4 linked regions of the Drosophila melanogaster genome follow. The protein of the gene in region 3 interacts with the protein of the main gene of each other region in a pairwise test. Each region holds a gene or a part of one and is shown on either strand. Other genes may lie near its edges. The genes, in order: elB, Pus7, CG14369 and Cpr92A.

Region 1 (8,557 bases), on a different chromosome or scaffold from region 3:
CGCCCCGTAACCAACTTAATGATTGATACCATTTGAAACCCATTTAATTTTCAGCAGATTACCAGAGCATTAAGAATGCCGCCGTAACGGTCAAGCGTTTCCCCTGGACATTTGGGAATTATGGGATTTTTTGTTTCACTCGGTGCCTCGGCTTTAAAACCAATTTGGGAAAATGTGTAAGGTAAACCATGTTGTCACATGGCGACGCCATAAGCAAGTGCACGGACATAATTAAGGTCGTTATGGGGGATGCAAGTGACGAAACCTTTTAAACGAAATCTTTTTTAAGTAGCAATAAATACATTTTAAATATTGATTCATGTATATTGCGTACATTTCTTTTGCATTTCAAAATAACACGAAAGTATTGCATATAACGTATACTTTAAACTTGGCGCAACCCGTTTAGTCGTACAATTAAGTTTGTGACACATCTCATGATGCTGTTAATGGCGATGATGATAATGCAATTGACAGTTATCAGCGGGCACATTAATTTGATTACTTCTATATGAATTTATTGGTTAATTTGTTGGAGCCCCCTTTTGCTGGCCACCCCCTTCCACCAAATCGATTATCTCGGGCCATAATTTGTAATGCCGCGACTTAACTCTATGGAGAAAAAAAAAAAATACATAAAAAACGGGTTATTATTTTGCGGTTTAAGCGTCGATTGCAATTCATTATCATAGTTGCCGCCTCGCGTGCATTTAAATGAATTCATTGAGTTTCACCCATTCAATTTGTACATACGCAAGCATTTAGCTTTCAAAATGATATTTGCCATGAATGGTTATGACTATGGTTTTGAATTGAAGGTGGGGTTTTCGGAGGTGTTGCCAGCACGATTGGATGGGGCCGAGTTTTAACTGATAAATGCCGTTTAATTGTTACCCTAAACGGCAATAATATTGTTTGTCCGAATCGGAAATACTGCGTTGGACGCTGCTGTTCGAGTTTTATTGCTCTTTCTATTTCTTACTCGATATTTATAGTTGCTTATTAACGAAATTGGATCGTTAAATTTATGGTCTCACCATAAAATGTCATAAATTTATTAATGATCTGCCGCAGATATCGATCCAGTGACTATATACTTTTTTTTTAAGTCTGTTCCTAATCGGTTTCTTATCGCTCCGCAAACCCAAGTGTTTTCCAGATAATCTATATGAAATTCAGTCCAATTGCAATTTCAACAGGCTAAGCTATTGTTAGACAGATCGATTGATTGATTTGTTGGAATTTATTGTGCATTTTGATTTGATTAGGGTACAGTACATGATGCATAAATGTGACTAATGCTTTATTTATAAACGCTGATAAGAGGCAGTCTAAAAATGAAATGATCCGTTTACTTCAGGCGGGATTTTATCGACTTCCTGAATTTTTTTCATACTATTAAACGATCATTGTTATTATTTAGGCTTAGGAAAATGTATACACCTCGTGTAAATTGACTTTTAACCCAGCCCAACCCCAATTAGAGTGCCATAGCAATTTCGCTGTACATCTTGTATCTCGCTTGTCTGTCTCGCATTTCACATATTTAAAATGTTCCAAGAATTAATTAACACTTTGGACAAAAACTATTATTTGTGTGCGAGTACAAAAAATTAACATGACAGCTCTAGACATGGCAATTTATCACCGGCATAACACGTTGGAGCAACTCTGCTCGACTCATTTGTTGTAGCCTGTAGCCAGGCATTTCAGCTGTTGATGACACTTTAATTAGAGCCACACGCAAGCACAAAGCCCAAAGAATGGCCCATTGGGGGCGAAAATTCGCAGGGGAAAGGCCTGAGACGGAGCCGTTATGTCAAGCGCACACTTTAACTGCCAGATCCGACCAGTTGTGTTGGGTTTATTTGGTGGCCCAAACCAAACCAAACCAAACCAAACCGTACGCTGCCAAGCAGCCTGTGGTTAACTGAAATGAACGTCGGACTGCATAAATGGCCGCTTGACTGACACATTTAATTATATTAATGATGTTTGCGGTCAGCTGACATTTGCACTTTATTTACCTTTTTCTGCTGCTCTGTCAGTTTAACTGTCTGTCTGTCCGACTGACTGACTGACTGACTGGTCTTGAGCTCATGTTAAGCTCTGACATGAGCCCGCGCAAACTGGAACCGAAGCTGACTTTCACGTTCACGTTCACATTTCAGATTTCAGATTTTGAATTATTGCCCAACAGATAGCTCAGCAACGGTCGCATTTATTTCCATTTTGCGACGCCGCTGCCTTCTTCGGTCAAAAAGTTTTGTAATTTTTCAACGTGTGACAGCAAATTATCAACAGTCACTTTGAAGATCTCTCTCTTTCGGTTTCTGTGTTTCTGTGTATGTCGCTGCTTTTATGGGGCGCCACATAAAAGATATACAAATGATGACACTGACAGCTGTCAGGCTTAGTTTATTTGATTTTATTATAATTAATTATAAGCAGCTGCCATTAATCATTGAATAATTTATAAGTTCGCAGATAGTATCGCAGATAAAGCACAAAAGAAGAAGGTTAGTCAGTCACCGGCAGACACGTAAACATAAATTAACTCAAAGTGCCGCGCGTAAGCTCTTAAGTCTCTAAAGAAAAACGTATTAGCAAGAATATTTGTTCATTACAGTACTAATAGAACGTCATAAATAATTAGTGCGAGTATACTAATAGAACGTCATAATTTACTGATCGACAGAATTTGAGATTACATCTCGTTGCTTAAAGACGCAACACTTAAATTTTAATGAAACCCAGATTCACAGAATCTGTCAGTCACTTGGCACCGGAACCAGTTCATCATTGGGCCTCGTATGCATATACGATCCGTTGATTTATGGGTTTTGCCTCATTTGCGCCACTGAAAAGCTTTCACACGACCAATATGGAAATGGCTGGGCTCTACTCTCCGAAATCAGTAAATCACGTAGCTCCGAAAACGCTATTTCAAATTACCCAGTTAATGAATGTACTCATCGTGCTGGTGCCATAAACTGCTTCCGTTCTTTACGAACAAAATGCGCTCAACAAATTAAAATGAAAATTTATGAGTCTCACGCCATTTCGAAGAGAGATAGTTTTGGATAAAGTGAGTGGGGGAAATGGGGACCACAACAACTTTGACTCTGATTAACTGCCATAGTTCCTCGAACTACGGTCGTGTGTGTGTGTGTGTGTGCCGGTGTGTGTAAGTGTGCGAAATTGCATTTGTTTTCTGTCATTATAAATTCAAATTTGGCGCGCCATAAATTTAGATACAATTTCCAGAGGTGCACTCGACTCTCTAAACACTTTCAGACGGAGGCAACTGGGCTGCAGATTTACATAGTTTAATATGAACAAACATAAATAAGTTTTATGTGCAGATATTGGAGAATTTATCGTTTTACGATTGTGAATTCGCTATTTGCCTCTTCCCAGACCCCGCAAAACAGTTCCGTTTTGCCAGCACATGGCCCAAAGTCTTCTGGAAGTTTGGAGGAGGTTGTTCGTTTCGGATTGGTGCCGTAGTTTCATACATATTTCGCCAGTGGCGAGTGCTTACAGTCGACATTTTTATTATATATGAAATATGGCTCGACAATCTATTTCAGATGTCTGAAATGTCGATAGTTTGTTATTCATAGCTGCAAGTTTTATAATCGAACGTAGCGAATTGGGTGTTATTGCTAGAATTTGTACTACTCTTCTTATCCTGTTTAAACCATGACTATTCTGGCATTTTTCTTATTCATATTTTGATATATATAGAACTTAACCCTTAACAAGATTTGTTCTACTTAACGATCGGAACACCAAAGTGAAATAATAATCTCTGAAGAGAGTGTGAAGAATGCGAAAACAAATAATACGAAATTTACGTCTTCTTATCAACATTTAAGAATATTATTAAATTTTAAGACCAATCAATATTTGAAATAATAGTTTTAATGACTTTTAACCGAAACTGTTCATCAGATACCTATCCCTTTCAATTAATATTTTATCCCATATTAGATAGCTAAACCAACTCACTGAAAAAGAAATCGCAATAATCACTGAGCTGTATTAGGCGATAAGCGCTAAGTCCATATAAACGCAATAAATTTCTGATTGCCGAATAAAATACCTTGTGAGAATTATCCCCAAAAACCCCAAAAATGAGACAAAGAGATGGGCTTACCGCTGTTGGGGCAGCTGCAGCTGTCATATAATCCGGTCTTAAATAATGATGATTGCTGGATTGCAGCATTTTATTATAATTTGTTAAATCCACTTTGACGGCTTTTCTTTGGTGGTTCGGTGGAGGTGTTGAGTGGTTGTTGCTTTTGTCCCGACCGCAAAGTACGGCAGTGCGCTTAACGGTAAGTGCCAATTTATGTGGCGTGTGCTGCCAACTCGTGTGAAAAGCGGCGCCTGCGCCTTGCTTGAAATATTTTCCAGCTGCCTGACTTTTCGCTGATTAAGCCGTCCACGTTTCGCGGTTCTCGTTGATGTGAGTACTTATTTATGATAATTTATTATTGTGTTTATTTTTTATTTTTCCTCTTTTTATTATTTATTCCGATTTCGATTCGCAATCGTTATTGCTGATGCTTGCTGGGCTTTGTTTGTAATTCGATTTCATTAATAATTCAGTGCTGTGGCGCAGGGGGGATTTCTCATGCGTCGAGTTGTGACTTTCACGCCAGCGGCATATTAATTTGTTGTTGTGATATGCTGGCTTCGCTTTAATTGTGCAATAAATTCATTAAGTATTATAATTGCCTCAGCGGTATTTATTATTTATATGTGTACACGATACATATGTGTGTAAAAAAGAATTTACACACTACTTTCTTTGCTGGCTTGCATCTACAATATTTACGTTTGATTCACGCATGGGCTTTTACAATGTATTCATTTATGGGTTTTCCTTTTGTTAGATATACATAGGTATGTATGTACTTTATTTATTTCTTTGGCTTGGCCGTTTTTGGTTAGTGGTTTCGCTCGAATGCCTCGTTGAGGGCGCGTTTTATGATGAGGCACGTACGTTATTAGATGGTTCCGGGAACGTGGGGTTATCCAAAAGTTTGCTATTTACTGAGCTAATTTTGTTTCACATGTATACTTTGTTTTAAACTCAGTCTAATTTTGATAAAGCACAAGGATCACTCGAAAACGACTTAAAAAATAGGCGATTGTGTTGACTTTCTCGTATATATTTTGAAAATTTTTTTTTTTTTGCGTTTGGGGGAAGTGCATATGTATCCGCCTGGCCGATTTTACGCTTTCGCACTCACAACACAACACTCCGGTCGTAGCAGTCCGTCCGTTCAGCGCACGTACGAACTTTAAACGTGAAATAACGAAATTCGACTAAAAATCTATAAACAACATGACGTGCACGCTCCTTTTCGCTCTTTTCGTATCACCCCCACTCTCCAATCGGCTCTCTCAGTAGTTTCGCGCTCGCTTGAAAACCAGTTCGCTCTTTGTTGTTTGTGGCCGTTTTCGTTTTCAACAAGTGTGCTTTTGTTGTTGTCCGAGGCCATGCGCTCCCCTTTTTCTTAGGGCGCGAGAGCGAAAGAGCGAAGTAGTTGGGGCACGAGAGCAAACGTTTTTAGTTCTGCGCTCTTTGCTGAGCGCGCATGCTTTTTGCTGAGGCAGCGAATTTCGCGTGGGAGCTGAGAGCCAAAAAGCGTAGTAGAATTGGCGGTTAGTAGTAGACGGATACTATGTGACGGAGAAGCAGTGTTGACGATGGGAAGTAACGGAAATTTCTGGATATTTTTGAAAATGTATATTTCCGCTTTAAATTTGATAAATAAAATGAAGGGTAATCACGGTACCCGGTTGTTTAAGAAACATTTTTTTATATTATACTTATGTACCAAGAATTATAAGGATTTTTTAATATTATTAAATAAAATCTTAAACATTTATTATACACATAGTAGGGAAAGATTTTTGGAAATTTGTAATTCTGAGCACAAGTAAGTTCACACTTAGATCAAGCAATAAGTTTTAAATATTGCGTATACGCCCAGTTGGAAAGTTTTTCTTTGCGCGCTATCATTGAGTACAAAGCTAAAAAATTCTAGAAATGTGTAAATAAAATATTGGAAATTAAAAATAGAGCCAACACAACACACACAACGCTGGGCACACCGACACCAACACGCTCATTGGACGATCGCCGCTTCTGTGTAGCCATTTTGGGTAATTTTGTTGCTGTTGTTGTTGTTTCACAGTGTTTTGTGGGGAATTTATTTCCACACATGTGTGTGCAGCCATGGCGCCTGTGTGCGTGTGGAGAGCGGAACGGCGTCGGCCATAATTGTTTACGAGCAGGTGGGCGTGTGTGTGGCGCTCGTTGGTGTGCCAGTGTGAGAGTGTGTGTGAGGAGGGGTTGGGGAATGTGTTAAAAACTGCAAGCCGAGGAAATATGATTTAGAGCACCAAACGAGAGAACCATTTCCGTGGAGAGAACACGATTTGGTGTATTTCCCTCACTTCGCAGAGAGAGTTTTCCCCACTGTAAACAGAAAACAGCTGGCGAAAATGAAAATCTCGGGTTGCACATGATGACGGGAAATGTCTGAGACGAACTTATCCCTCATTTTGCACACTGAAATCAATTTTAGTTTCTCACTTAGATGCTATAAATGCAATAAGAATGGAATGTTCGAAAGTAATATCGTAACATCTTTAACATTAAAAAATGTTAATAAAAAAAAAACAAATTTGTAATTCAAGTTTGCCGATTAAATTTCTCTTAATGCTTAATATGTACATATGCAGTTTAATATCTAAATCATAGCTCCCACGTTAGGGCAATTTAAGAAATCAAATATAGGAGTCATAATCTCTGGTTAAATTGCTCTATTGGGTCCGCATCATCGTAAAAAGCAAAAATGGTCGTAAAAACACAACCAAGACCACGCAATTGGTTAAATATTCAAAAGGCGAAATGCTGCTCTAACTTTATGGCATTAAAATGTTTAGGATTTGAAAGAGAAATACACAATTATACTAATCGTGGCGCTTTGAATTAACAATCAATAATTTACATATTTCGGCCATATATTGACAGCTGCCACTGCTGCTCCACGCCTTCTTGGAGCATTTTTGGTGATGCTCTCATAAAATGCCCCCGTCCATTGTGGATTTTTGTCGTGTTCATTAAGAAGCTTTTGAAAGTTTCGCCTTTCAAAAACCATAAAATGTTTATTTAGATGCCACTTTAATGGCGGACAGAGTCAAACGTTTTATAGCTTCCTTTTGTTTCACAATATGGTTTTAGTTTCGTTTTCGGACTTAATAGACTCATTTCTGGTTTAACACAAAACAATCGAGTTTCAATTAACCACACAAAAAGTATATGTCGTTTTCGCTCTCTGGGTAAACCACAAAATTAAGTGGCTAACAGTATTTTGTGGCCACAACACATTACAAACCACACAAGCGAACTGAAAAAAGGGAAATTATAATAGAGAGCCGGGTTTGCCCATATCCTTTTTTTTTTTCGTACGCGTTTGTCTGCCGCGCCCAAGCGAATATCCCCAACAGACAAATAAGCGGGGGTGCGTTTTTCACGGTGCGGGGGTCGTTTCCGTTTCGGGCTTTTGTTAGCATTTTAGCAGTTCATTTATGCGGCTTACAGGACGAGGAGGCGGCACATGTGACCGGAAAAGCCCTTTTAGTAACACAAAATGGTCACCAAAGTGGTTGAGTGCTTGTTAGTTTGCGGGATGTCTCGGGAATAATTTGAGATGTGACAATGGGCTTGGAAAAACTTCCTCATTACTATTTGACTATATATTTACTAGTCTTTCAAAAGGTATCTATAAGTATGCAATGTTTTGCTTCAAATAAAAACCCCATCGCTTTTGTAGAACTCGCTATACTAAATGTGTAAGCATTTGTTTTATTAAAACGTTTAAAAGTAGTTCATCAATATTAATGTATTTCTTTGTTGAAAGCAATAATAATAAACTAAAATGCATATGTAATTATCCGCAGTGCTGCCATTTGTATGCTGTACCCTCTTAAGAGATGCTGCAGTCCTCGGCTGCATCTACTTACCCGTTGCTCGATTGCAGTTGAGCTTTACCCCTTGCCACGCTTTCTCCTATGCTTTTCATCTTTTTACCCTTTGGCCACATTTTCCGGGCGACTTTCCCGTTGTATATGTGTATGAATTATGTGCTGCACTCTTTTTTAACCCCTGGCATATTTTACAAGCTGCTTTACTAGCCCCGTACTTATACTTTGCTCTCCAATAAACATACAAACGCACTTACCCAGTGTTTGTACATGGATGTCAGGAGTGTGTGTTTGTAGGGTTTTGTGTTTTTTTTTCATGCTCGTTTGTCGTGGCCTCAAGTGCGCTGGTGAGTTCATAAATTTGCCCACTGGGGCGTATGAGTAATGTGCCAAAGGGGCTTTGCTTTCTTCATGTAGAACTGTGTGCAACACACACAAAAACGGTTGGGAAATGAAAAAATCTAAAAGCCATAGTCCAGCAGGCAACATATGCAGCCTTCAATTTAATATACTTTACTTTCAGAATTTGTTTTCAAAAGGGGCGAAA
Region 2 (9,091 bases), on a different chromosome or scaffold from region 3:
GAGGTGTGAGTCCCACTTAAGGTGATAGTTTTCGGCGGCCATCTCTGCGGCCGGCAGCTCCTGTACAACGATAAAATCAATAAATAAATCAATAAATGCCGCCAGTGGGGTGTTTATTTTGAATCTCCCGATCCCACCACACCACCCAAGGAGTGGTGAATAGAGGGTTTAGCCACCATGCTCTTGTGACAGCATATTTCTCACACGAAGCAACGGTCATACTTATTCGCTAGCTTCCATTTGTTTACATATTTTCATTTGTGTTTATTTTGAAAATATCAAAATGTCGCAGTTCGACACGCGACTTATTGAGCTGGTTAGGGCTAATCCCAAGCTTTATGAGCGCGAACTTAGAAACGCACCCTACGAAGCGCATAAGAAGCGACATCCGGAAATCTGGAGCAGCATCGCCACTTCATTAAATTCAGAAGGTAAGAAACTGATAAATTGTATAAATATTCCCTAATTCCTCATTATATTTTAACTTAGCTAGTGCCTGTGTCAGTCGTTGGAATCATCTGGTGGCCAAACAGCGTCGGGAGCTGGCCAAAGAAAAGGCCGGAGGCACTGGCTCCGATTGGAGTCTTCTGCCGCATTTGAAATTCCTGCAGCATCACCACCATCCGATTAATCACCGAAATTCGGGTGATCTGAGTAGGAGCACACTGAAATCCAGCGACGAGGTCAACGATGATGAGGATCCGCTCCAGGAGGCCATGGATGAGCAGCTGGCCGTTGCGGGAGCTGCACCAGCACCACCCACAAATCCTGCCCATGCAACGCCAGTGGCTCAAGCAGAAAAGAGGATAGAAGCCCTGCTTGAAGGACTGGGCGAAGCAAACCGAATTAAGGCGGAGAAACGCATTCTGGCCTACCTATGCAAATGCAATCTGCGCGCCCTGAACGACGAGCAAATCGATGATATAGTTATTTAGGAAGATTGCCAAGATGATATAGTTATAAAGGAAGATTGCCATGATGATAAGTTAAATACATACATGCCGTGATAGGATATCAAAAGTAGCAAACATCACTGATCATATAATTGTTTAATAATTAAGTCATTTTTGTTATAGTTTATATATCTGGACAATTATCTTAAGCGAATACTAAATAACTTCTTTTTCCAAATGTATGCTTCCCTAAAAAATATTGTTAATCCATTCATTTAACCTAATCTTCGCATCTAATGAAGTTTACTATACAAACTAACTATTGCATTGTATGATATGATAAAACATTAACACGCCTGTGATTAAATAGTTTATTTTATTTGAGGCTTAAGATTAGCAATTTAAAATTCAAGACAACTGGTAAACCCCAAACAAAGCATCAATTGTCGCCAGAGGTCATTTATAGAGCCAGAGACTTGCGGGAGTGTATAGTAATGCAGTAGGAAGCTATCTGTGTGGCAAAAGCCAACTTTGAACAGGCGGGCGGGGAGCAGGTGGAGTAGGCGAGGGAAAATCGAATTGAGCCACGCCAAAAAACTCCTACTATGACGCAGCTGCTGCTGGGAACTGGTCAAAGAGTCAAAGAATGCGCGCGCAAGCAATAACATGTCCAATATCCATGTCTGGATCGGATCGGGGGAAGGCCTCCAGCACGGGGACAGGGCGACGACGACGCCAAAACAAGCATTTAGTTTATTAATTTGACGACTGCCGCAGGGGGAGCAGTGGGCCGAAACAAAAACATAACGAGCGAGGAGCGTCGTGCACCCTTAACGACTGATGCCACACTACCACTACCCCCTCGTACCGACTGAGTCCCCCTTACTTCACACGTACATGGTGAACCCTCCGACGCACTAAGCCACTATATGAACCAACTACTCCTACGGCCAGCCACCTACCCACTAGACCATTCCCATTCCCAATCCCCGGACTCAGCTCTTGGTATTAACACCGTATTATCGATTGATTTCCAGCACAAGCACACAACAAAAATCAATAGGCTGCCAGAGCCAAAATCAAATATTGTACAGTTCTGTGATTGTTTAGTTCAGTGTTGTCGTAAAAGTTATAAACAATTTGTAGACTCGAATGTATACTTACGCCTTAATAAATGGATTTTCAAAGTACGCGCCCAAAACGTTTAAATGCTACATTTAACTGGAAATTCACCTTGTCTCGCCTCTTGGTTTTTTTATTTGGTTTAAAATCTCTTTAAATCACTGGATGAATTGGATGGAGTCCGTGGATTTTTGGGGGACCGTGCTTGTTCGTTATTTGTTGTCAATTAATAATTTGTTATTGCTCTTCATTGAGAACGCTGGGGAAAACCGTGCGACTTGGACTTTTGAGCTGGGGAAACTGCGCAGCGCGTCGCTTGAGCTTTCGCGTTGGTGGCCACCGAACGAATAAAATCGCAGTCAAAGAAACAGGACCAAAAGGACTCTCCCAGGCGAGAGAGAGAGAGAGAGAGAGAGCGATTGAGATTGACGGGGTGCGAGCCACGGGATGCGACAGTGAGAGAGAGAGAGAGAGGGAGCAGCCCTCGTCCTCACGTGCGCATTGTTATTGTTGTGGTTGGTTCGAAGTTGGATACGAAGCGCGCGTAAAATTGATTTCCTGAGCATATTGATTTTCGGTATCTCACTTGGCCTACACCGCCTCCTCGGCCCCCTGAGTTTCCGCCTGCTCAGTTTCCTGCCCATCCTCGTCGGCCACCTCCTTTACCACCTCCATTTGTTCCTCCTGGGTTCCTACCGCCTTCTTTTCATTGTCCTCCTTAGCCATTGCCTGTTTCTCCAACTGCGTTTGCGATGCTGACGATGTGTCCTGCTTTAAGAGTTCTCGCAAAAACATGGTGGCATAGGCAGCCGTGGGCAGCGAGAACTCCAGCAGGAGTGCCATGTAATTGGCCTCAGCTTCAGCTGGTTCTGGTGCAACCGGAATGTTCTTCAATAGCTCCCAGTCGGAGGCGATAAGTGTATCCTCCGGCGTATTGTACATTCTAAAGCTCCACTTGAGATCACTGGACGATATGATCATCTTGCGGTAGGCGCCAGCCAATGCGTATGTCTTCTCCTTGTGCTTCAGTTGATCCGAGGAAAGACCCACTTCGGCGAGCATTTCCTCGTACCACGCGCCGCACTCGTTGCTGGGATAGGTGATGTCGTGTCCAGGCAGGGGAAGGACCACATCGCAAAGTTTGTACTTGCCGCTAGCGATGTCTTCTGCTGTGAGCGGGCGAACCTTTCGCTTGAAAATCGACTCCTCTTCGATGGCTTCATCCCCTTCGGGGACTTCCAGAGGTTCATCGTTAGGCTCCTCTTCTTTTTGCTCTTCCAAGGCCTCGCCCTGCTGCGCCTGCTCTTCCGAGGCTTCCGACTGATCCTGCTCCACATAAACCAAATCCCCGGGTATCAATTTCAAGCCGAACTCCTTAATTCGTCTAGACGCTATCCTGTTGAAGATCAGGCTTTGGTAAGCATGTGGATATAGCATGAGCATGTTGCGTGGTATCTGCCGCAGAGCTGATGAGTAATCTGATTCACCAAATCTGGCCAAGCCGTCCAGCAGCTTCTTTTCGATGAACTTTTCGCCGTAGATCTGTGCAGCTGCCGCCGCGGAGTCGCGATTTTTCCACCACTCCTCGCGTATGGGACGCAAAAACTCCACATCCGAGTCCCGGGGTTTCAGGATCAGTTCGCAGGCCAGTTTGTAATCGTGCTTGAGCAGAGCAACACCCACCTCATAGGTTGGGACACTGGCGCTGTTGCCGAACCGCTGCAAGCCATAGTAGTTGATGAAGCCGCGTTCCTTCAATGATTGCAGTGCCTGCTCGATTTCTTCTCGCTTCTCCTTGGCAATGTGTCGCAAGGCAATACGAAAACGATTGCCCTGCAAATCGCCTAGCTTCAGTGTATTGGATTCGAATCCAAAGTTGCCGATATGAACATTCCGTTGGGAGCGAGCTGCAACCAAAATGCTCTCTGGTGTACGACGCTTGACGGAGAACTTCTGGGTGGTTTTGGCCCGCTTGTCCTTGATGCCGCTGTAGTTCACCTGCGATGGTCGTAAGCTGTAGAAAAATAATGTTTTCTTAGTATATTAAAGCATTTAAAATTTGATCAAACTTACTTCAGTCGCGCTGCTAAAGTAGAGGCCACATCGCTGGTAACCAAATTGGTTTTGTGCACCAGGAAGGTCACGTAATCCGCCGGAAAGCTCCAGCGTTTGTCACCTATGGAATTCGATGCATAAAAAAAGGAATTCCCTGGGTAATCATTTCTACTAACCGCGTCCTGGCTTTGGTTTAAATACTTTTATAGTCTTCTTCTCCTCTGCCGGCACCTGTGAGTCTTTCTGGGTTGAGGTTTCACCTTCAGCCGCATCCTTATTTTCCAAAGATGCCTCCTCCTGGACCTTCGGCTTAGCCTGCTGCTGTCCAATGGTTGTGGACAGTAGCTTGCCCTTGTAAAGCTGTTTTATCATCTGGTGGACTTGTGTTCGCTGCTCCTTATCCAGAGTGGTCACATCAATCTCCACCTTTTGCTCGATCGCGGGATCGTTTTTGGCCTTAGCCAGATTGGCTATATCCTGCCAAACTTCCGGGCCGATTACTGCCTCCAGTTCTTTCCGCCAGTTGTCCAGTTCGTTTTCGGCCACAGCTGTTATAGTATGAGATGCATGAGCATAAGCAAGTATGCAGGATAATTGGTGAATACAGACCCACAATAGCCACTTTAGGCACACTGAGATCGTTCAGTTCCAGAACCTTTCCATTGCTATCAATCTCGTTCACGTGAAAATCAGAGAAGCGAGACTTAAGTATTCCCGTGAAGCCAGGTGCCTCCGGGTTAGTGAACTCCGTAATGCCCACTTGGGTCTCCAGCAGCGTGGATTTCTGTTGTGGAGCACTTTTGTCCAACGAAAAACGCCGGTTAACAACGATATTATTTATGGGATTTAATTTGTACCTGTTGCGCTGACCGCCACCATTGTTTTGGGGGCGATCCTTCTTCTGACCACGCCAGTTGCTCTTGTTGTATGGCCCGGAATGGTTATTCCTACGTCCTCTGCCCCGATCCTTGCCCATCTTGGTTCAAAATTCGCGTTTGAAAATTTGTCGGCAAATGAAATCCACGTTTTGCACAACATATGATGTGCCCATTCACAATAAGCTTTTTAGGTTTATTAGGGTGGCCGCATGTGCCATTTATTCGGGAAATAGATTTCTTAAATGGTTGTTAGCATAAGTTCATCCGCAAATATTCCTCTTTTTTTATATTGTATGATAAATATAATTTAAAAACATGCTTAATATTAACATATCATAAAACTTTTGTTAGTATATTTTCCTCATTTATACTTCAGTATTTTTTGGTATTTTTCTGGTCCCAGATCAAGTTCACACTGCGTACGTAATGTAAAGAAAATGTGCAATACAAAGAAGCATTGGAAAGAAGTGTAAAAATTGAGAAATAACCAAAAATTGGAACGGATTAATTCATTAGGTTAAGCCAAGGAAGCAACGAAATGTTGCCGCATATAAGTGCCGACGAGGCACAGCCGTCTATGTCGCGAAAGGTGTACATCAATCCGAATTTTCAGCTGCAAGGTCAAACGGCGCATCAGCTGCCGTTCCAAGTGCCCTTCCAGGCGTTCCAGGCGCCACTGCAGCCTCAGCCCGCGATCCATATCAATCCGCACTTTCTGAATCGCCAGCGGGCCATGTACGACCAATACCAGCGGGAGCAGCAGGAGCAGCTTATGATGCAACAAGTTTCCGCCTCGCACTATCGACTGGATCCAACGATACACCTACTGGCGACTCCACCTCCTCCGCCCGCCAAGATCATCAGCAAAGTGAGCACGTGTCTCGTGCGCAAGCCATCAGTGGTGGCAAGTGGTCCGGCGGTGAAGCTCGCTGCTTCAGTACCTGTGCCCACTGTTTCCAGCCTGGTGCAGCCTCCATTGGTAAGCATTTCCAAGCGGAAAATTGTGAGGCAAGGAGCATTGAAAGCAGCGCCAGCGGTTGCTGCCCTCCATCCTCCTCCACCTGCTAAACGCACTAGGTACAAATTAGTGCGTTCCATATCACTTACCTGCACACCGCTGGTCAAAAAGCGTCGTCCTCTACGCGAGTTTGTGGGCCAGTACGCCCTGAGACGCACCAATGAAGCGCAGCCCAACAGAAAACTGAGGTAATGAAAATCGGATACGAGCAGTTGAAAATAGTCAAGCAACAGGCGACTCTGTTAGACAAGGTAATGTACATCAACTAACTTAACTTTTATTACAGCTCCAAGCCGCAGGCGCTGAAGCTGGGCGTTAACAAATCCCTGAGCATGGTCAGCATACACGGTGTGATGTACAAGAAGATATCGAAGAACAAAATAACCAAGCTGGATGCCAGTTCCTCCGCTAGGGTAGCCAAATCGGAGAGTCCCAGGACCTTGCAGCGTACCTTGTCCGGCAGAACGCTCTTCGTCAGCGGCAATAAGTTCATTTTAGATCCTTCCGGCTGCCGCCTGACCAGAGTTTCAACCTCATCAACTGGTGCTACCCAGAGTAGCGTAAATCGTAGCATCCTGAGGCGCATCGATATCGGCGGCCTTACCTACGTTGCTTCGCCAAAGGCACTGAATGTCTTTGTACGCACCAGTAATCACGTGTCGCGAGCCCATTTAATCACCGCCAAACAGAGAAGCCTGACGTTGCTCAACAAATCGTTGGTGAAGACCAATGTGCCTTGTGCCATCTTCCAGAAGCTGGGCAAGTGCGTTGCCCATAGTCGTGGCAAGTGCCGCAAGCTGCACGACAAGCGGCAGGTTGCCATCTGTGTCAGGTTTGTCCTTGGCCAAGCGAAGAGTGCTAAACCTTCGATGGCGTCCAATGTTCGAAATTCGCAATGCGGTTATCTTTTTGAAATCATTTACTTGCAGCTTTCTGCGCGGGGAGTGCACCAAACCCAAATGCCTGCTGTCCCATAATGTCACGCTGGAGAAGATGCCCGTCTGTCGGTACTATTTGCGCGGCGTTTGCGTTCGCGAGGATTGCCCGTACCTACACAAGAAGCTGAGCAGCAAGACCGAGATTTGTATTGACTTTGTGCGCGGCTACTGTCCGTTGGCTGCCGAGGTAAATAGGTCTGCCACTTATTTTCATTGAAAACCTATTAACTCCAAAACATTTTAAGTGCAACAAACGTCACGAGTTTTCCTGTCCCGAGTTGGAGCGCAAGGGCAAGTGCGAATTACCCAGGTGCGTGTTCTGTAAGAAGTCGCCATCAAAGCGATTGGCCAAAGTCAAGTCGCGTCCCAAACTGGGCAGTAAACCTGTCGCCTTCACGGATACCGCGAAAGAATCGTCTACAGCGGATGAGTTGCCCACCAGTTCACGCTACTTTGGGTCCCACAAGGAACCAGCGGAAGCAATATTGACTAGAGATGATGTGGAACAGAAGAAACCTGAAGCGGAGGATGAGGATCAGAAGGAAGCGGGTGCCCCTTGCCCTCGACGACGTCCTCAACTGGGAACTCTACCCTCTTTTATTCCCTTAGGTGGCGAAGAAAAGCTATAAGGCTATGCGAAGGCTATGGACCCAACGTTTCAGGTACAAATTAATTCGGTTAAGTATTGTTTTAACGTTTAGTCTAAGATTTATCTTTAGTAGCTTATTTTCAAGTTTTAATAAAATATTCAAAAAGACAAATTTATTTGCGTAAAATAAATAAAAGATACATTTTATTGGTTGGGTATATATTTGCTACGCTCGAGGAAAATGTAAACATTTGCATTAGTCGTTTTATGTTGTTTATGTATATAAATTATTAAACTAAGATTATTACCAAAATAAATCACAGTTTTTTCGCGGTGTATTCAACCATCTGGCAACATGCCGATCGTGCAGTGTGACCAGGTGGCACCACTTGTTGTTGGATTTTGTGGCGCCACATAGTTGTGTACCTGTTTTTAAGCCGCTCTCTCGATTCGAGTCTCGATTTTCTCGCCACAGTTGAATTTTGCATGCGGCTCGTACAACACCTGAACAACAAACGCGGATTCCGTTTCGAGCAACAACAAAAACAGTGAGTGTGTGTTAGTGCTCGTGCGTGTGTAGCGGTGGCTCTTGCAAATTTATTGCTCACCAGGCCAAAAAGAAAAGCGAAAAGGCTGTGAAGTTACCAAAAATAAAATGCGGACCACAAACATGGGAGATTTGCGGCAAATGGCCTTTGAACTCGTCCACTGGCTTTGACATCTGTTCGCGATCGGGAATTTTCGAAACTCTCTTTCACACAACGTCTCTCATTCGCTTCGTCTTGGTCCAGAAAACCAGGCCAAAACCATTTTCCAACCGAATTTTTGTTCAATTGTGCACTTGTGGCTGTTGGTACATTTTTTCCGATACGTTCTCGCTTTGGTGCATTCCTAACTAAATGCTACTAATAACAAGAGGAGAAAAAAGAGAAAAAAGGAAGGCAATCCGAAGATTGGCCAAAGAGGTGAAAAAAGTTGCTTGACTTGTTTGACCCGCGTTTGTGTTCCAGTGTGTGTGGCTGTGTTGTGTGTGTGTGTGTGTGTGAGTGCGACTTCTCCTTCTGCTTTTTCCTCTTCTTCGGATTCTTGTTGTTGGCCCAGCCGTATTCTACATAAATTACTGACCAAAATGACACCAAAGAGCCATAAAAATGTATTAATAATTTATGCAACCTCCGCTTAGCTGCATAAATATGTAAAATTACATAATGTGCAGCCAAAAGTTGCGATAAATAAGCAAATAACGGTTGCATATATTCGCCATTAATCATTTTGAGTGTAACAATTTTTCGAAAACCGTTCGTTACTCATTAATATTGACCTATTACCAGCTTAATTGTAGGAAAATCGCCATCAAGTTTGCTCTAATTTCGTATAATTACTATTTTATGAGCCACATTTTCACCCATTACATTAATTCAAAATAATTCTGCGGCAGCCTGTGATAAAACAAAGCGAGAAACAATAAAAAAAGGGGAAAAGAGAGTGGAGAACAAAGCATAGATTTCCAGTCTCCAGCCACATTCCATGGTGAGCATGAATCCCCATAAATTCCCAACGAAAGTCTTAACCGAAAATGCTTAAACTTGAAATTTATG
Region 3 (6,798 bases):
CCGAGTGCGTTCGTTCGGCTAATGGAGTTGTTCCAAAGGATTCAAGGAGTAAGAAGTGTGTGTGTGCGCTGTAGCGCGTTAACTTAAAGGACTTTTGATAATGTATTATTTATGTCTTACCTCATTGTTGTAGTATTAGATATGCACAATAAACCCACTGACTCCTTTGGCAAAAGAATGCCACAATAATTTGCCGGCATCGCCACTTGGCCGAGAACAAAGGCCAAAGGATTTAAATCAAAAGTGCTCCATTCGAGCCCTTGATCTGTGCAAACCGCCCTCGCTTTTCACAGATTTCAAGTGCGAAAGCGAACGCCGCACAAGTTTTCATAATCATGAATATTGTTTATCGCCCTGTGAGCAGCTCCAGAGTTCCCAGCCTTTGCAAGTGCATTTGAGCATAATGAGATAGACTCCTCCGTACGCCGAGCTCCGTACTCCGTTTTCCCGACCCCGTGTTCCATGTTCCGGATTTCAGACTACGGCGGAGTTGATTCGCAGTTGAGTTGCAGTTTAAGCCTCTCGCCAAGTGCTAAGTAAAAAATAACCGGGCCATAACAAAAGACTACAAAGAAAAAGTGGTCTTTAGACACTTGACATAGCGCATTGAATAAAGTGGGTATGGTATACATAGAAGCCCTTTTTGCACTAACAAAAAAAAACCCCCTTTAATTGGCTGGCCATGGTATTTGCATGAAATGTTGTTTGAAGAGTTTACAGCGTATTTACACATAGAATTACATAAATGCTGAGCGTATTAACTTTAATTGAAAAGTATTTTTAATTAATAAATTTCAACACATTGGCGCCAGGACACACACACACTAACATAATTGCAAGTGCCCACTCTGCGCGTTAAAAGGCAATCATCACAACAATAACAATATAATGTCAGCACAAACAACTGCATCCGACATATTTGTATGTAAAGTATATATATGTTTGTATATATATATATATTTATGTATATATAAACTGTATAGTACATCGTATTGATATGTCAGACAATAACAATGGCAAACGGAACAGCGACCGGCGGAAAAAAGGTTAATTGACCAACAAATAACTTAATTAAATCAAATGAAAATTAAACAATTCAATTTTTAATGAGGTTCGCTGGTTTTGACCTCGTTTCAATTATGAAAATGCAAGCACAATGGGCACAAGTGCCCGGAGTAGGCAGCTCCCGGATGACTGATTGGCCGGCTGGAGGTCGTTCCCGCCCATCCGGAAAAGCGGAAAGCTGGAAAAGTGGCCGTGGCACATCTGACAGCTCTATTAAAATTTCGAATACCCTCAATTTGGACCGCCTTTTCACAACCACTTGCCCATTCTTGTGCGTGAAAAAGGTGGTCAGACGAAACTATTAATTACAGGTGGTTAACAAAAAAAAAGGGGGTAAGCATGGGATTTTGGGAATGGGAGCCAAGTGCCCGAAACATGTGTCTATCTATCTACTAATTACTAGGATATTTAAGCATAAAGTCCCTTCAAATACTAATTAACTAAAACAAAGTTTCCCTATCGTATAGAACTAAAAGTAATTTTAAAACTCTTGAAATATTAAGCAGAACTCTAAATTGAAATCATGGTTTAATGTATGTTGAAGATTTTAAATATCCGTCCATGTATGACCAAAAAAATAAATCAATTTAGTTTTATATAATTATATATGGATACAATTATTTCAATTCGCCCACTAATTAATACTTCTATCATTTTTAACATTTAGCAGGCAATATAAAAATGCATTTCCATTGAGTTTGTGAGACTGTTAAGGCAAAAATCACCATTGCTGTTACAGCAGTCCTGTTGAATCGATAATTAATTTTTAATGATTTACAACGTGACAACTGCTTGTATAACGATAATTCAATATTATAGCAGATCAACTATCAAAACTGAAACATTTTCCGCTGCGCTCTCTTCAACAATTCACAAACCGAATGCGTTCATCTGATCCCATTGGGAGTGAAGTTCATAAAAAGGGCATAAATTATGTAAATTGATTAAAAAATTGAGCATACCTCGGCAATAAAATGATTATAAATCTGAATGAATAAACAATAGCCACTTGCGAAACTGCAACAACTGCAGGACAGCACTTATAATAGAGTAACAATTTACAACTGCCGGTGGAGTGGCAATTGAAACTAAGACCGTTGAGGAATGTATTTTATTTGATTTGGCTGGTTCCCTTCTTTGGTTGGTTGTTATTGTTGTGCGTTTAATGAATTTTATTGATTGCAAATACAAAATAAGAACAGCATCACGTAAATGGAAACCATTTACAGCTTAAAAATATTTAATTACCAACCGCCCATTGCCCACCGCGCCGATTGGGCAGCGGATTTTCGATGGGTTGTTGTGGGGTTCGAAATGTTTCAGGTCTTGCCACCAAATTGCAATTAATCTTCTTTTAACAGCAAACTTTTGATCCGCTTTATTTGCATTTCGCTGCGGCCCCACAACAACAACAGCAGCAACAAATAAGGTGGTCCCACGGAGGGAAAATAACGAAAATGCTTGTCATAAAAAATTATCAAGGGTTAAAAATTATGTTACGCGTTTCATTTTGGTCGCTGCGAAATGATTTATGCAAAATCTGTGCAAAATGAATATAAATTGTGCAATTTCATGTTCTTCATTTTTTTTTTATACGCGCCCCACCTCTTCAACTTAGCTCAACTTTTTCCCTGTGTCCGGCAAATTAATTTAAAAGCACCAACAATAAGTAAAATAACAAACTGCGAAAGGGTCGACGCCGCTCCTTCCTGGCCATTATTTATAATCTCACATTGAAAAGGGGTTCTCTAATCGATTTTTCGCTCTGTCTTTTCGTTCTCTCACAAATCTGCATTAACCGATGATAATTTTCTGATAGCCCAGGTAGCCGGGATAGTAGCCACTGCCATAACCATAATAGCCAGGCGATGGTGAGCCATAGTAGTTGTACGGATAGCCAGGATATGCCCAAGAATAGCCACTGGCCCAGTTGAGGAACGGCAATCCGCCGATGCTGCCGCTGAAGAAGATGCCACGCCTTCGACGAACCGGAAGCAGATTTCGCTGCGAATCCGCAGCGCCGCCAATTTCCTGCTCCAATGACAGCAAATCCGTTTTTACATAGCCAACTGGTGCCACATCCTTGTCAACAGCCGACGCGCCACTCAAGTGCGTGCCCAGCAGCAAAATCATCGCCAGAGGCAGCAACAGCAATCGCAATTGCAATGGCAATGGCATATTTAATTATTTAATTTAACGATGAAAATATGATATTTATATTTAATTCAATCGACAAACCGCGTCAATGATTTCCACACAACTGCCAGTCAAAGAGCCGCCGCTGTTTCCTATTTATATGTAGAGTGAGTACTTCGATTGAATTTAATGCCAACACCATTGGCGTTTGTTTTTAAATTTAAAGCTCGCTAATTGAAGCCAATGCTAATGCCTTCATTCAGAACGCCCGCAAAAAATTGGTGGCCAATAAAAAGCAGTACAAGAGCTGAAGACAAAAAAAAGGTTCTAACAAATGTGACGTATTAGTCGAGCCAATCAATGTGGTATAGAATCATAGGAACTCAAAACAGCAGATGCAATGAAGATTGGATACCCTAATGTTATTTATTTTAATATAAATAAAGATACTGCTAATAGATTTATTAACATTAAATTATGCAGAACTTTTTTTCTATAGCTATGTTTTCCCAACTTTAAATGAAAAACCAAGCACATTATTTTCAATGCGATAGGTGTTCGTTTTTAAGTATCTTAATTGGAGGCAATTAAAATTTGTTTATAAAAAATTCAGGAGCAGTCAAAACACGATTGCAAAAAGTCATATGAAATAAAGCCGGGAAAATTGTATAACTCAATCAATACGAACACGATACTTTCATGTTGCTGTTTTATGTGAAAGGTGCAATTTTAAAACGAATTTTTAGGATTATGTAACCTATTTAACCTACTCGAACCGAGAAAAATCATTTAATGTGGCTTTGTGGCTTGACCAGGGACTCACAACACCCTCTCGAAGCTTATACCTAAATCGCTTTATGAACCAAATTATGAAGGCTTGACAGCATTTGTCTGATGCTCGTCGCAAATACCCTCACTACTGCCATTCCGACCGAACACCACCCAATACCACTCATTTGCCGCCCGACAAAAGTGCCAGACCTTGTGTCCCTTTTCACACATTACGCATACGCCACGTTGTTGCGTTCTTTCATTGCGTTGCGTTCGCTTTGCTAGCTCGTTGGCTGCCAATTGACACATTTCATGTTCAGATATGCGTAAATAACAATTATTGTAATTTTTCAAAGCGCTCGTTGCGAGACAAAGCGCAGACTTGTGACAATTCAGCGATAATACATAAAAGCGTAACCTTAACCGACAGCGTGTAAACCTTGAACTTGAGTGACATGGGCAAAAAGGGCGCCAAATATTTTTTTTTTTTCTTTCTTTTTTTTCTCTTACCCTCTTTTGTGTACAATGTTCCTGGCTGCCGTTGTACTCCTCACCCCTATACTACAATATATAAATATGTGCCGATTTGCCCATGTCGGCGTGAACATACAACCACATATGTGTTTGCCAATGTGTCAACATTTTAGATTGCCTTGCATGATTTGCAAGAAAAATGAAGACAATAGTTGAGTTTTACACTCTCCACTCAACAAATTCAGCAGAAACAACAGCAACACGAGGGCCAAGTACCGCTGTCAGCATGTCACGCGATTTGTTGCCTCCGAACGAGTATGAAATGAATATATTTGTTATAAAAGAAAGTCATGGCCCGCTGTTTGTGGGTGTCACCGGGTACTTTTTATCCCCGATTAACAAGTGCAATGCGCACAGAGTAGACACTAGAACGATGGTAAAAGGGTTAAGCGAATGAGTGGTACCTAGTAACTACTAAGCTGTTTTTAAACTAGATATTCCAGATTTAAAGATACTCTTCATAGTTCGCTATGATAAATGGGTATTTGCTATTTTAAACATTTAAATTATATTAATATGATTAATATTTTAATATTAAATAACAATATTTATAAAATAAAAATATATAACATTTTGCCAGTCTTATACATACATGTGCAAACCATCTGAAATGTACCTTGCACTTTGCTGTAACTAATTTCTAAAGTGGAATACTTATCATTTCGATATTCTAGCCAATATCCCCCATTTTAAGAACTAACCTAAAAAACCCCCTGCAATGAGAAATCAGAATTGGGTTAGTTCCGTCTCCGTCGTATTTTAATTCTATTTGCACATTCGGGTGAAACTTGCAAATACAAAGGCGAACTATAAACAATGGCAGCGAAACGAGAACAAGAAATTGCGTTGCCCAGATAACTTCAACAACTTTTCGCGATTTCCGCGACTTGCGACTTTTGTATTGTGTGCATTTGTCTGCGTGCTATCTATGTTCGATGAGTTTTCCACTCTCTCTCTCTCTCTCTCTCTCTTTCTGTCTCTCCTGCTATCACTATCTACTTCTGTGGCTGAGTGCGTGTGTATGGGTGTGTCAACAAATGACTCGAATGAAATTTATAAGCAAAGTTAGCTGAACGCAGTGGCAAAAGTTGATAAGGGTTCGCTCGGTGGCAAGTGAAGTTTTTCCCCCAAAAAGCCAGAGAGCCAGAGAGCTCATCCATCCGCAGATACCAAGTAATGGTAACTGGGGCGGGGATGAGGAGGCATAGTTGCGGTACCCATTTTCCGCCCAGTGTTCAACAGGAGGCCAATAACAAGGCCAATGTATTAATTTACGCAAGTCAAATTCAAACTTTCAGTCGAGTTAATTAAATGCCCAGCCAGTGCAGGAGAGCTTAACTCAAATAGAAACTAATGATAAAAGGCATTGGTCAAGAAGCGAGATTCTTGGAAGACCATGCGGATTCCAAGAGATTCCGGCGACTGCCGGCCAATCGAGCAGGCCAGGCCAGGAAACGGTCAAGCAAAGCATCATGTGAATAATAAGCTAGAATCCTTGAATACGCTCTCAAAAGGAAAACCCCATCCCAATGACGTGCCATGCCTCAAGTTGCCCGGAAGAAGTGCAAATGTGAGCCAGTTAAACCCTCAAGCAATGAACCCATTGTGTTCATTGAATTCTGCGAAATTGTGGGCTCTATCTGTGTGTGTACAATTGAAAGGATTAAAGCTTAGGTATTTCTGAGCAGAAGGAGTTCACAGCAGCGTGAAATCCCTTCCCCCACCAACATAAAGAATAATTTAAAAGACTTGGAAAATTAACACAACTCGATGTTCAACATTTTCACGCACGTTTATCTAAGCCCAGGTATTAAATTACCTTTTTTTAATTAAAATTATACAAGTACTTTAATTAAACAGGCCTTATGCAAACACGATAAGATATTTTCCGGTATTTAAAGATTATGAAAAGTGCATCCACCATTTTTCGTTCGCCGCATAACGATATATAAATCATCTCAATTAAAACAGTTGAACTGCAATTAATCCTTAACCAAATGCATTCCTTTTCATTTTTCACACTTTTCCGGATCGACGATAAGTCGTCGCCTGACATCCAGCGCGAGAAGGAGTGAGATTTTAAAAGGAAAAACCACCGCGGAATGCAACACAATACAGATTTAATTAATAATTATAATCATATTTGCAGTCGCCGCCTTGCAACCAATACTTTTGTGGACACATGCGCACAAAATTCAATTAACTCTTTCATTAGTGCTCCCAATTCCAATCGCTGTATGCAACTCATGCGCTTTATTAAATTCGTATTTGTATCCAGGACTTCTGGCGAGA
Region 4 (7,120 bases), 6.0 Mb from region 3:
TGCAAAACATTCTAAATAATCATACCTAAACACCTAAAGATAGATCCATATAACTATTGTGGTACATATATTTATACACTATTGCGAAGAATCAGATGGAAAAGAATTTCAAGAAGAGCTTCGAGTAAGCTGAGAACACTTTTTAGTAGTTATGAAAGATACAAATCTATATATATTATATACAAATATCGAAGCATAAGTGAGACATATTGAAAGCTGGAAATAATGCAGAAATGATTTAAAGATTAGATAAGCTGTAACTCCAACACATACTTACATCCAATGATATAATAAAAAAGAAACAACTATATCATAAATGAAACATATTCATAATTTCCTAGTACATGAAAAATTGTTATAACTCGCACCTTTTTCAAACAACTGATAGGAAGCAAATCAATTTCAAAGATACAAGAAGAACCAGCTAACAGTTTTTGGTTAGCTTTCATATCATTTTAAAGCTTATACAATAAGTGTTTTAAATGTAAATTTCGAAACATGCAATCAGTTTTAATTTGTATCCTTATTTATTCCGATTTCTTGTGTATTATTTCTTAATATTATTTAATATTAATATCTGTGCTAACTGAAAGTGTGCTGCAATGTTTTTAATTAAAGAACTATTATTAAATATCACTGTCTTTATACTTTTATTTTGTTTTCGGTTGGTAGACAACAAGACCTTCATAAACCTAATCATATGCTGACGAATACGATCACTAAATGGACCACCTTTTCTATCTACTTAATCAAATCGAATCGAATCTTATCCACTACCAAAACCCTCAAATATATTAGGTAATCCACAACATTCCAATGAAACTAGTCAAATTACACTTGGATAACTCAGATATACTTACGAATCAAATGATATTGAAAACTGCTTTAAAATACCTAAATACCACAAAGAACTAATCGAATCGATACATATAGATGTCTATAACTTGATAACCAAAATCGTACAATACTCACATCAACATAAGCAAAATATATATCCGAAAGAGAGTAAAGTTTTAACCTAGATATGCCATAGATGGATAAATATTTATGGATATATCAGATATTAGCTATATATTGACATGAAACTCTTTAGTTTATTTCCTCTGAAATTCCACCTTTAGTTAACGAAATTATACAAAAATTAGGAACGAAAATAAGGACAATATGGAAACATTTTTAGAAACTGTTATCATTTATGTTTCTCATCTATCAGCTTAAATTATCTAAGCTAGGTTCACTTTTCACTAGAATTTTCGGGCACTTAGTAAAAAATGCAACACGACTATACTATATATAGAAAGAATTATTTATAAAGAGATATAGCTATCAACAAAATGCAGTTAGCAAATTATTCAACCACTTCTGTGTAGTAAAATGTCCCAACTATGAGTATTTTTCTAACCCAAACCGTACCAACCCAAACCGAAACCGAAACGTAGTGTGGAAAAGATGTCCTACCAATAACCAATCAAGTTTAATAAATGAAAACCCTCCGTTTCAAGTTATAAACAAATGAACCAAAATCGAAACAAAAATGCTTAAGTCAACTATTTAATCATTAGTGAAACATATCCCATTCAACGGCAAATATATAAACTTTATATGGGTAAAGCCATCTCTAGGAGTACGTAGTCGAGGACGAATTTAAAAGCATCAAGTCTAGTAACTGAGATCTGAGTTGAGAATAGCCAAAGCTGCCATTTGTTTGTCCACAATTTTATATACTGACAACTGATATCAAGCAACGCAATTCAAGCATATCCCGAAATAGTCTTCATCATCCAGTGGTTGTCTACAATAGATTTTTACCTAACGCGAGAACCGACGAGGAAATCGGACGGAGAAGTCCGAGACGAAGCCAAACAATCAACGAAGAAATTATGAATTAAATATTATACAATTGTCAAGGAATACTGTGAGCTATATTAGCCGCTTATTTATATTAGCGGTATGTACACCGTATATTAGTCTCTTATTCTAAGCAGATTACTTAGCTAAATTGTGTCCAACTGTAAAGGCCTCTAGAGCACAGCACTTTTGTATGGTATATCAGCCTAAAGACCCTTAGTTTAAATAATCGTACACATCAAATCAATCAGACGGATAATGATAGACACAAAGCCCCGAGCTTGGCAACTAATCGTTTTTGTTGGAATAGAAGCTTCGAAATTAATTTAGTGGTAGCAGGCATGACTCAATTGTACCTATCTTTTGATACCGTTTATTACAAAACTAAGGACTATAATCGTATTTAAATTGTATACCTAATCGAGTGCAGCGAGACCAAAACGCACTCTGCACACTGATGAACTTTTGAAGTCGGCTGAGGAGTACATAAATTTATATCGATATCGAAAACATTTCAGTATGTTCTACGAATGGTAGCTCATAGAACCTATTAAACATAAAACATAATACATAAATAATAACACATTATGCATTGTAATAAACTTATTTATAACATACGGTGACATACTCGAAACGTTTATATACAACACACATATACATATTTATACATAATCAGAAATTATACATATGAGATATGCCACATACGATATCATATAACATATACATATATGAACCATTGCGAAAAGTTGATACAATAAATAAAACACTCATCAATTGCGTTAAAACGTTGTTTTTTAAATTATTTAAAAACTTTTTGTGGGACTATTTTCTTCTTGGCTTCGGAACTTCAATCTAATAGTTTCTAGGGAAGACCGCAAACAAATTTGTTAGGTTTTTCAATTCTCGTTTTATTTCCTAGACTAACCATTCAACAACATTTTCTTAAAGACGTGTACATAGGCTAGGGGTAACTTAGAATCAATCTACATGTTGGATCGGTATCAAATCCCTCGAAGAACACAGAGTAAGAGATTGAGAGTACAGCGTTTGGCACAGATATAGCCGGAGTTTCAGTTTTGGGTCAGTGTAAGCTGCGTGCGATAGATGAAGTCGAATCAAATCAGATCAGATAGTTGAGAACCTTGGTCCCTCAGTGATGGTAGTAGGCATGGGGTTCCACTGGAGCGGGGGCCGGACCTGGAGCCGGATAGTGGGCATAGGGGCTGTGCGCCAGGGCGGGATAGGCGGCATGGAAGTGGGCGGAGGGCAGGACTGGAGTAGCCACTGGCACAGACACCGGAGCTGGAGCAGGAGCGGGAGCGGGACCTGGTGCAGGAGCGGGAGCACCACGGTGGTAAGGTCCTAAGGCAAGAGGATACGAAAGCAGAGGAGCCTTGGGCACCGGCGGAAGTGGAGGCGCCGGAGCTGGGCCGTAATGAGCTGGTACTGGAGCGGGTGCAGGTGCGACGACGGGTGCCAGGTGGGCTGGTGCCTTGTAGGCCAGCGGCTCCTTGCGGACCACCGCATTGAATCCGTGATGGGGATCCGCTGTGTAGTCAACGGTGCGTTTGGTTCCATCCGGATCCACAACCGAGTAGCTGCCCTTCACCACATCTCCGTGGCGCGTCTCGTGCTGTGACTTCAGGTCACCAGTATAACCATCCTGGATGTCGTAGCCAAAGGAGTACTTCGGGTCGGGATCGTAGGGTTCGGGAGCAGCCGGCTTGGGCGCCACATAGGGACCTGGCAGGGGCCCATGCTGCGGTGCATATCCTCCATAGTGGTGCAGAGGTCCGGGACCAGCTGGACCGCCATAGTATGGTCCGGGTCCAATCACGCCCGCATAGGCGATGCCGAGCATGGCGCTCAGCAGGGAAATCTGAAAAAAAAATTAAAAGAAAATGTTGAAAGCGATTAAATTGAAATAAGCTTTAAGTAATATGAGGACAGGGAAGAATTGTTTAGAATAATTCTTGGCAATTAAATTTAATTTAAATCAAATCACATATTAACTCGGATCATTCGACGGGTTTCATTAGGACTTAAACTATCTTCTTTATGCACTAATTTTCTTTGTATGAATAAAATATAAGCTTTTAGTAATAGGAACACTTGGTTAATTCATCTTGGCATTCCCCTTGAGAATATGTTAAATCGGCTTAAACTTGATTGTCCAGACTATAAGAGCACTTTGGTATCCTTTGTTTTCACACCTTCAGCATAACGATGTCCTTGCAGGGGTATCCTTTCCACTCGCTCACAGTTGTCACAGACTCAGCAGACACCACACGTAGAGAGTGGCCGGAGTATTGTTGGTTTCGACGACGATCGCGCTAGAAGAAGTAACCAAAACTGCAAGCGTTCGCTGGAAGTTCTGGCCATTTATACTGGCAAACGGCGGCAAATGTCGCCTGCTTCACATGGCGCAGTCGAGGCAATAAACTAATTTCAGATCAAGAGAGACCCGGCCAGACGGAGTCTTCGGTGTCTTGGGCCAGCGATCAAGCACATGGCGCGGACCAGTACTGCGGAGCCACGGGGGCGGGGATTGACTCTTGCCCACCTGGCGGCAAATCGTGTGCCTGGCTTCAACTTTGGCGCAGTTATCGTGTCGACTTAGAAAGGTTATTCTTCCGCTAAACCATTTAAAGGGTCCCCAGACCCCGGAGCCAATCCAACCCGAGCTTTGCCCTTTCACTTTTGCGACGTTTACGATTCGTTTTCGATTCGCTTTTCAATACCCGCTTGGACACCGACTTTTGGCAATTATGTGAAAATTTATTTTGCCGCACACAATTGAAATGTTACATTAACATTGGCTGGATGTTAGGATATGCTGCATTTGGCTGCCGCGTAATTAGCTAAGAAGAACAAGCTGCACCGGGCGATGTTGAGGTTCCATATGAAATGGCAGTTGCAGCGCATGCGCAAAAGGTCAGGTGGTCCACAATTGAATTAAGAGTGCCTGGAGTGGGCCCAAAAGCCAGAGGCTCACCGAAGAAGGGGGGCGGAAACAGGGGCGACTGGCTCGCCACAACAGCCTAATAAAGCAAAAGGTCAACGCGCTGCTGTCGGCACATTAGTCTGGCCCACAGACCAGGCCAAACAACCACTTGCAGTCTAGGCAAATAATGTCATTAATAATACCCTTCAAAAAGTGGCATGACGACTATATAAGGTTACTCATGACTGATCCTTCAGCTGAAGACTGGTTTTCTGTTTGATCTTCCCCTTAAATGGTTGCTACGTAGCGGAGATGCTAAAAGCTGACTATGATAGGACACATTGTAATAGGAATACTGATCAGTTACATAGTTTATAATCAATGATAAACTTGAGATAATTTCTGGAAGGACCAAAAAAGTTTGCAGCTAGTTCCTAAGAGTGCCTGATTAGCCAAAAATACCCTTTCCAGCCTCTAACGACCAAGTGTCTGCGACAATTCTCATGTTTACCGTTTTGTGAGCTTAATTTATGGCTGCAAATTTGTATCTGGCATCTGGAAAACTATTGACATCTGCATGCATTGTCTTACCCTTGCTGTTACCATCGGGCCTGTTTATGCGACAACTAACTATAACAAAGAATCAAAGTCGTGCCAACCGCCGGGCCAGTCGATGTCAGCTGTTTTAACTATTTTTAGCCAGAAGATCAAAGCAATTGATCAACAAGAATGGCAGGCTAATGCTACAAAGTTGCCAATATGGCTGAATGGAAAATCTAGTCAATAATGGATTAGTTAAGCACAATATTGGTATGTATGTAGGTATTTTAATTGCAAAAATTTTGTTTCGACAAAAACTTACGCGATAGATGTGACATCTCCTGTAGATATTTTCCCAATTACAGGGCTCACAGCTGGCAAAACATTTGACGGTATATCTGTAATTTTAAAACCCATCCAGCTGTTTTAGCTTTATGAAACATATTGCCTAAAGCCGCTAAAGATAAATTTATGGCTATTCCCAGCGCAGTTTAATTTAGCTTCTGGTCAGTTCTCAAAGGGAGTTGGAAGTAGTCAGTCGCTTTGGAAATTTTTTATGTCATCGAAGCAACGTCTGATGGATTTCAGTCAGGTTCTGGATAAGTGTGGAAACTATGGCAGGTTCCAGGTGATGATCCTTTTGCTGTACGGCTACACAAATATTCTTGGATCACTGCACTACTTTTCGCAGACCCTTATCACCTTCACACCAGAGCATTGGTGAGTGTGGACACAAAATGGGTGATTGGTCCCGACCATGTAATATCCAATCTTTCTTATGCAGGTGCTTCCATGCTGACCTTAATGGTCTCAGTGTTGAAGGGATTCGCTCGGTATATGAAAACATATCCGCCTCATCCTGCACGCCCCTTTTGGGCGTAGTCAACGGCACAGGTGTTGTATCTACGAACCGAAAGTGCAGGAATTGGATTTTTAACAGGGAGAGCGGCTACGAAAGCATTACCACCGAGGTATGAAGCCATTGAAAAACGTTGTTGAAAAGATTTACAATATAGAAAACCCACTTCAGCTCAAATGGGTTTGTGACAAATCGCATCATCCAGCAGTGGGCCAATCCTTCTTCTTCATGGGCTCAGTCGTGGGCACCATAATCTTTGGCTATCTGTCGGATCAAGTAGGTCGTCTGCCTTCCCTGCTGATGGCCACCTTGTGTGGTGCAACTGGGGATTTTATCACCTCCTTTGTGCACACGCTGCCCTGGTTCGCCTTTTCCAGATTTATGTCAGGGCTATCCACTGATACCATGTACTACCTAATGTACATATTGGGTAATATAACTTTAAATCAAAATATAAGGTTAAATTAATCTACGTTCCCCATATCGTCAGTCTTTGAGTACTTAAGCCCCAAGAGCCGTACCTTTGGCCTCAACATCATCTTGGCTGTATTCTACTGTTTTGGACTGATGACCTCGCCCTGGGCCGCCATTTGGATTGGTAATTGGCGACGCTACCTTTGGCTGGCATCTCTTCCAGCACTGGGTGTCCTTATATATCCATTCCTGATCTGCGAAAGTGCTCAGTGGCTTTTGACCAAAAGGAAGTACGACGATGCGGTGATTTGTCTAAAGAAAGTGGCCAAGTTCAATAGGCGACATGTGGAGGAGTCCGTTTTCGATGAGTTTGTCAAATACTATCGGGAAAGGGAACTTCAGGATTACAAGCTTAATAGTCACGAGGACACTTTCTTAGCCATGTTTTTGACCCCTCGGTTGCGTCGATTCACTTTGACATTGCTCGTGAAGTCGTAAGTTCTTTACTTTTGGAT

What was found.
Region 1: the proteins of CG14369 (region 3) and elB interact in a two-hybrid assay, tested with the Drosophila melanogaster proteins (one large-scale study listed by BioGRID).
Region 2: the proteins of CG14369 (region 3) and Pus7 interact in a two-hybrid assay, tested with the Drosophila melanogaster proteins (one large-scale study listed by BioGRID).
Region 4: the proteins of CG14369 (region 3) and Cpr92A interact in a two-hybrid assay, tested with the Drosophila melanogaster proteins (one large-scale study listed by BioGRID).

Annotation. Positions count from the first base shown.
Region 1 is NT_033779.5:14,404,206-14,412,762, forward strand, and holds the start of elB (elbow B), read right to left. Parts: upstream 5,345-8,557; 5' UTR 4,232-5,344; coding exon 4,163-4,231; intron 1-4,162. UniProt on the Drosophila melanogaster protein: May negatively regulate Notch-induced cell proliferation in the eye-head primordium. May act in leg and wing primordia to negatively regulate body-wall specifying genes and thereby promote appendage formation. Required for tracheal development.
Region 2 is NT_037436.4:8,506,040-8,515,130, reverse strand, and holds Pus7 (pseudouridine synthase 7), read right to left. Parts: upstream 5,129-9,091; 5' UTR 5,047-5,128; coding exon 4,928-5,046; intron 4,868-4,927; coding exon 4,680-4,867; intron 4,619-4,679; coding exon 4,247-4,618; intron 4,192-4,246; coding exon 4,089-4,191; intron 4,030-4,088; coding exon 2,607-4,029; 3' UTR 2,124-2,606; downstream 1-2,123. Other genes in the region: CG6765 (uncharacterized protein), read right to left, coding at 1-42; CG6683 (uncharacterized protein), read left to right, coding at 284-431, 490-935; ZC3H3, read left to right, coding at 5,487-6,154, 6,253-6,798, 6,896-7,091, 7,150-7,533.
Region 3 is NT_033777.3:13,589,417-13,596,214, forward strand, and holds CG14369 (uncharacterized protein), read right to left. Parts: upstream 3,242-6,798; 5' UTR 3,199-3,241; coding exon 2,860-3,198; 3' UTR 2,216-2,859; downstream 1-2,215.
Region 4 is NT_033777.3:19,594,765-19,601,884, forward strand, and holds Cpr92A (cuticular protein 92A), read right to left. Parts: upstream 4,192-7,120; 5' UTR 4,071-4,191; coding exon 4,062-4,070; intron 3,728-4,061; coding exon 2,999-3,727; 3' UTR 2,738-2,998; downstream 1-2,737. Other genes in the region: CG7333 (uncharacterized protein), read left to right, coding at 5,910-6,052, 6,117-6,303, 6,363-6,621, 6,682-7,099.